Oryctolagus cuniculus: one gene and its partner. The protein of the gene in region 1 purifies or fractionates together with the protein of each later gene. This does not show direct contact. Links are inferred from orthologs where the notes say so. Each region holds a gene or a part of one and is shown on either strand. Other genes may lie near its edges.

Region 1 (2,757 bases):
CACCGATCCGAAGCCAGGAGCCAGGAGCTTCTTCTGGGTCTCCCACGTGGGTGCAGGGGCCCAAGCACTTGGGCCATCTTCTACTGCTTTCCCAGGCCATAGCAGAGAGCTGGATCAGAAGTGGAGCTGCTTGGTCTCGAACTGGTGCCTATATGGGATGCCAGTGCTTCAGGCCAGGGCGTTAACCTACTGCGCCACAGCACCAGCCCCTTAATTATTTTTTGAATGTTCTCCCTGAGCTCCAAGAATAGAGTTCTGTCAGAGAAAAGGAGGTTAAGTGCAGATCTTAGAAGCAGCTCTCCGGTTTCTTCTGCACACACTGGAGTGAGCAGACAGGTGGGAGGGCCTGGGTGTGGGAGAACTACAGAATCAGAAATGTCCGCTTGTCGTAGGTGTGTCACCTACGTCACACACTCTTCAAGTAGCCTTAGTCACATGCTGTCTCATTTCTTGCCTGCATCTCATAGTATCAATTTCTGACTTAAAACTAAGGATTTTTACGTGTAACTTGGGAGGCGTGTGAACGTGAATGTCAGCCTTTTGTGCTCTGATGGTTTTCAGAGAACTGGGACTCTGTGTGTCCATGTTCTGGGTCTCTCTAAGTCTCTGCTTTATTGACTTTCTCCGTGTCACTACTAAGGCTCCCTGTATGTTGCTATCCCGTGGACTGCACTGTGTAACAGGGTCTTGTACTCCTGGGGGCTTTAATGTACCTTTTGTTTTGTTTTGTTTTGTGCTCCTCTTTGCCAGCAACAGCCATCATCCAAGTTGAAGACCAGAATACAGGTGCAATTGAGAACATTATAGTGGAGGTAAAAAAAGAGCCAGACGCCGAACCCACGGAGGGTGAGGAGGAGGAGGCCCAGCCAGCTGCCACAGATGCCCCCAACGGCGACCTCACGCCTGAGATGATCCTCAGCATGATGGACCGGTGATGGTGGGGCCTTGCTGGGCGCCGGGACTGCTCTGGGCTGTGTTTAAACGGCCCACATCTTAATTTTTTTCCCTTTTTTCTTCTTTTGGCTTTGGGAAAAGCATCATTTTTACACCATTTTACCAAACAAACTGAGAACGAAAACTTCAAGGATGATGTTAGAAAAATGTGATTTAACTAGAACTTGCTGTTTGATGTTAACAAATCATGGAATGTCTGAGTCCCTGCGGGTTTACTGTGAAGTGCTGAGGGCAGTGTTGACGCCTGACTGGTTTCTGAGACGGAAACAGAGACATTGGCCCCTCTCTCTCAATACGGTAAACCACTCCAGAATGGCTGCCGGGTTTCCCAGAGTTCTCTGGTCTTCTTCCCAAGAGAGTTTTTAATTGTAAATGCAGACTTGGGGAGGCCTTAGACTTTTAACCTGTTTTTTGCTTTTGCTTTTTCTCTGACTCCTTGCTCGAGTCAGCTGCACACCAGTAGTACGGCATGCTACGATCGGTTACTGTCCTGAACGCTTTGCCTCTTTCTTGGCAGAGTTTCTGGTATGGTCAAGCTTGTAAATAACTTTTTTTACATTTTAATCTTTTCCATTAATTAAGAGGTTGAAAAGAAGTGCAGTGTGAGAAAACCCAGCATTTTAATTACTTGCAAATTAAGTTGCCACAGACTTGGTAGTGTGGAATTATTAAAGGAATTGGATCACAATCATGTAGCAGATCGGCACCCAGCCTGCCGCCCGCTAGTGACGAGCCTCCACATGGAAGATCATGATTTCCAGCCCATGGAGCCAGCATTTGAACTTTGTACAATTAACCTTCAGTTATGATTTCCCATTGACATTTTCTTTGCTATGTTTAGCAGAATGTTGCGTTTTACGAATCCCCTGTCAGAGCCAGAGGGTGACTATGAGTGGGTCACAGCAGTCCTGACATGCTGGGCCAGAAATTTTCACTAGGTCAGTAATTTAAACTTTGGATCTTCAAAAACAAATAATAATGTGAAACAAAACCAACTAAAAAATGATTGTTGCACATGAACTGTCACACGTTGAAAATGTGTTTTTTAGAGAGCCTCAGTCTTGCTGATTTCAAACACTTTTTTTCTTCTGTGTATTGCTTTTTAAGAGAGCCATCAGTTAGCTATCAGACTCTAGGTTGATGCATTTTGTACTTAGCTGTACTGTGTGATATTTTTCATTATTTTAGGATGCCAACACGAGACCTGTAATAAAATATGTAATGGGGTTGAAAGCTGGGGAGGAGGATCTACTGCTGTACAGCTAATAAATCATAACGGATTAACAAGTGCTCCGAGGACTCTTGTCTTGTGTGATTCCTGCCTGCTGGCCCCCCGAGGGGCTGGCGCAGAGCTCCAGGCCGTGCCGGCCTCCGCATCTTAGAGGCAGGCTGTGTTCCTGGGATAGTGCTTCCTCTCGGGCAGAAGGAGAGGATCTTATCTTGGAGGATGTCAGGATTGTGAGTGCATCCTGCTGCACATTTAACTCCGCAAAAATGGGTGTGAGGAGAGCATCAAGTGGATGGGCAGTGGCCGGCCTCCGTGGTCCGCCCGAGGAGCGGGTGCCCGCTGCACAGAGCTGTGGAGTTGTAGTTGATGGGAAGCCCTGTCTTAGGATCTTGGCTCAGGGAGGCTGGGACCACTACCTGGGGCTTAGCCAGGTACAGGGGAACAGGAGAAGCTGGGCCCAACCTGCCAGAAGTCCATTTGAAGCGGGAGACACCAGGATTGTACAGGGGCTACTGGTCAGCGCCACGATGATGGACGGGGACTTGGGTCGTGTTAGGAAGCTCAGGCTTCAGCTT
Region 2 (4,246 bases), on another chromosome or scaffold:
ATCTCAAAAAACAAATAACCCCCTCAAAAGCTTCCAGTATTTCAACACTCATCACTATGCATTAGCTGTTAGCTTTAGGGAGAATTCACATAAAAACCCATGGAAGGCCCGCGCTGCGGCTCACTAGGCTAATCCTCCGCCTTGTGGTGCCGGCACACCGGGTTCTAGTCCCGGTCGCCCCTCTTCCAGGCCAGCTCTCTGCTGTCACCAGGGAGTGCAGTGGAGGATGGCCCAAGTGCTTGGGCCCTGCACCCCATGGGAGACCAGGATAAGTACCTGGCCCCTGCTATCAGATCAGCGTGGTGCGCCGGCCGCAGCACGCCGGCCATTGAAGGGTGAACCAATGGCAAAGGAAGACCTTTCTCTCTGTCTCTCTCTCTCACTGTCCACTCTGTCAAAAAACAAAACCATGGAAAGCATCTGCTGGATGGGAATTAGACCAATTTTCCATGTTGGCTTAGATGCAATAACCACCCCTGGTCGACTTCAGAGCCGCAGGGTCTCTCCCTGTATATAAATGGTCCCCTACCTACTTCACAGGGCTGTAATGCACCCTTAATGTTTCACTCTGATACACAAAAACGAACAGCGCTAAGGCTCCAATTCACCTAATAATGATCTTATTTTTAAATTTTAGGATCTATAAATTGCTAAGGCTGTTCATCTGCCAGGTTTCCCATAGTTTTTGGAAAAAGATACATTAAATATACAAACAGAGCAACTGTTAAAGACACTTTGGTTTCAGAAACATTTTAAGTAGTATTTGAATTTTCAAAACAAATACAGAATTTGCTTTACAAGATTCCCAGCACATCTAAAATCAGGGACTGTTTCCCTGCGACTGTCTGTAAACAAGCAGTCACACCTGCTAATAACTGTGCTCACTTCCTTCTGTTTCAAGCGTTCTCAGAACACCCACCTTGCTGGGGTGAATGCCCACATGGACAGTTGTGCCATTGGCCTTTTCTCGCTGCACCCGCTCAATGTAGATGACGTATTTCTTCCTGTAAACCTGGACTACTTTGCCAATTTGCTGACCCTTGTAGTGTCCTCGCACAACCTGAAATTCAAAAATAGCAGGAATAAGCAGATAAAAACAAGATCATCATTACAAGGGAAATAGTGAATTAAATCTCTAAGAGCTTTCAATTTTGAACGACTTAATGACATTAAGATTCTAGCTCCCTGGTTTTAGCTAAACCATGCCCCCAGGTGTCTACAGAGAGGGACAGTGCATCCCTACAGCTGACAGCTACCAGCAGGGGGAGGCTTATTTAAAGGATGAAAAGAAGCCACCACTTTGGGTTTCTGTAGGAAGTTAACAAGGACCTTGTTATTTTGTCTCAAAAGCAGAACTGGCCTCAAGTCTAATTCACAACCTAGTTAAGTGCCCACTTCAATGCCAGGCAAGAGTGGACTCCAACAAACACACAAGTGAACAAACCAATTCTTTCGCAAAGGTGAGCAGTTTGCTATCCAGGAGTCCTAGCCATCACTCGGCTTGTTAGAACCAACCCAAAGTGCTTCTGAACACGTTTCCTTCCAGTTCCTGACCTCCTTATATTGCTACATCCTGAAAACAAAACACTCAATTGCTTCCAAGGTCTACTGGAGATGTGAGTAGCTGTGACAAATCTTTAATGGAACTATGGTGTTCCATTAAAGAGATTCTGAGTCTAGATTCTTAGCAACTTTTCGGGCCCTCAAATGCCTTTACAATGATCCAACATACTGAGAAAAGGCTAATTCCCAAGGAACCTTCTGCTGGTGCGTTTGGATAATTTGCCTCTTTTATTATGACTGGAGCTGATGCTTGAGAAAACGGATTTTCACCCAATAAAAAGGGAACTGAAAAGCAACGTGTTTTTGGCTCGACTCATCCTGAAATCCGCCCGGACAGCAGGAATACATACTTGCACTTCATCATCCTTTCGGATAGGCATGGATCGCACGTTGTACTTCTGTCTCAGCTCTTTGGAAAGGGGAGAAGACATAATCTTCCGGCGAATGTGGGAAGGGGCATTGAAATGCCTTTTCCGGTTCTTGCTCCGATCAGAAGTCACAAAGGGATTGAACTTCATTTTGGCTGTGTGAAGAATTAAGAACCTCCAATGACTAAAACCTCACACGCTTCCCAAACAGCAGCAACAACTTCCCCCTAAAAACTCAGACCACAGACATCAGTTACACCAGAGAGCTGAACGGCCGGTCGACTAAAGGCTCAATAGAAACAACGCTCCACTGGGGTATTTTCTATATGTCCCTGGGGGAGAGAGAGCGCCCCATTAACACAGCTGCTTTAATCACTAAACTTTCTGTCTACATCCCCCCAAACTCTTTATATTAGATGACCGACAACTCCATTTTTCAACTGTAACATCAGGTTTTGGAAGGACCAAAGTTCACCTTCGAGAGACTTGAGTGTGAACACCTGGCGCCCCCCAAATCACCCTGCCCCCACCTGGAAATCCTGCACAGATCGCAGGTCCCAAAGACCCTCCTAGAGGCGAGCGCGGCCTGCGGTTGTGCGTGGACTTCACTGCCAACAGTTATCTAGGAAACTTCAATTCCTAGACTTCCTCCGCTCCTGCTCCGCTTTCCGAGTCCCCAAATCCCCTGTCCCCCTCCCCTTCGCCTTCTGTGGTCCCTGAGCTAAGCATCAAACAGAAGCCACCCCAAACCCCCTCCCTGGCTGCTGTGCGGCTGGTGGGAGAGTCTCGGGGCCCCCGAATCCGAGAGCCAACGCGCCCACGAACGGATGAGCGTGGATTGCAATCGCCTCCCAGGGAAACCCTCACCAGCTGCCGCTCCGGCGATGGCCACCAAAGGGAAAAGGTTTACACGATACTTCCGGTTCTGTAAGTTTCCGAGCGATCTCGCGAGATTGATGTCTCGGCGAGAGAGGGGCGCGGAGTCGAAAGAAAACTGGGAGAAGTGGATGTCTAGTGTCACCTAGCGGCTCGGAGGGAAACTGCAAGGGACTGTGAAACCCTCCTCCAGGTCTCCCTTCCAAGGCCGGGTTGCTGTTGACTTCCGGGGCGAGTGACGAAGGAGCGGGCGGCCCCAGGGGACCCCGTCCCTGCACTCCTGGTTGCACGGCGGCTGGCGCCCTCTTAGCCTGGCAAGGACAGGCCTTACCTCTGGCCACCAGGTGACGCTGGGACCCCGGCCGACCGGTCACCTGGGCTCCCTGGTCCCCGCCCAGGCCAATGACGTGGGTGTGTAAACGTGCAGGTCCTTTAGTTAGCTCCAGCCGGGCGCCCCGCCGCCCCCACGCCCAAGGCTGGAGCCCCTGATCGCCCCCAGCCCACTTCGTAGAAGCGGGTCTGAAGCAGCGTTGCTGTCCCACTCCTGGGTGATGCCGAGAGTGGCGGCGCTGACTTGGGAGGAGCCGGACGGCCCCTGTCCGGACGTTCTGCCCCTCGTGGTTCAGCTCCGGATCTGTGGGAGGCGGGGAAGGGGTGCGCCCCCGCGCACAGGGACGCTGCGGTGGGCTGCAGTAGGGCGAGCCGGCGGCGTCGCGGCTAGGGCGTGGTTTCTCTGGAATGAATGGTGTCCTAATGACAGAAGACACACGTTTCGTAATAGGGCACCGAGACGCAATGAGCTAGCCGAGTGCTAGGGACACCCTTCTGTGTGTTTTACATCATCCACTCCTAGGATTCCCAAAATAGCCCTATTGATGCTGCTATTATTGTCCTCATGTTACACCTGGAGCTGCTGAGTCACCGAGAGGTGTGACACTTGTGCAAGGTCGCAGGGCGCCTGTGCAGGGTGGCTCCCCAGCCCCTTCCGGCAACTCCCTCTATGGCCCCACATCGTAGGAGCCCACTGGGTTAAGTCAAAGAAACAGTATCCTTGAGGGCCCAGAGTCCTGTCTGTGGAGAATAGGAATTTTGATGATTTACAAACATTTGGTGGGGCTGTTACTGTGGCGTAGTGGGTTAAGCCACTGTCTCCAGCGCTGGCATCCCATATGGGTGCTGGTTCATGTCCCGGCAGCTCCACTTCCGATCCAGCTCCCTGCTAACATGCTTGGGAAAGCAGTGGAAGATGGCCCAAGTGCTTGGACTCCTGCACCGATGTGGGAGACCCCGAAGAAGCTCTTGGTTCCTGGCTCCTGGCTTCAGCCTAGCCCAGCCCCAGCTGTTGCAGCCATTTGGGGAGTGAACCAGCAGATGGAAGAAGCTCCTGGCTTCGGATCAGCCCCTCACCAGCCATTGCAGCACCTGGGGAGTGAACCAAC

Evidence for each region. The genes of interacting proteins can lie anywhere in the genome.
Region 2: the proteins of CTCF (region 1) and RPL26 purify together in Homo sapiens (affinity purification with mass spectrometry; 3 studies listed by BioGRID and IntAct, with this or other methods). This does not show direct contact. The link is inferred for Oryctolagus cuniculus from reciprocal best matches to the Homo sapiens genes CTCF and RPL26.

The regions. Positions count from the first base shown.
Region 1 is NC_091449.1:50,881,890-50,884,646, forward strand, and holds the end of CTCF (transcriptional repressor CTCF), read left to right. Parts: intron 1-750; coding exon 751-935; 3' UTR 936-2,245; downstream 2,246-2,757.
Region 2 is NC_091448.1:52,826,441-52,830,686, forward strand, and holds the start of RPL26 (large ribosomal subunit protein uL24), read right to left. Parts: upstream 2,932-4,246; 5' UTR 2,799-2,931; exon of another isoform or gene 2,462-2,798; intron 2,087-2,461; 5' UTR 2,082-2,086; coding exon 1,914-2,081; intron 1,061-1,913; coding exon 920-1,060; intron 1-919.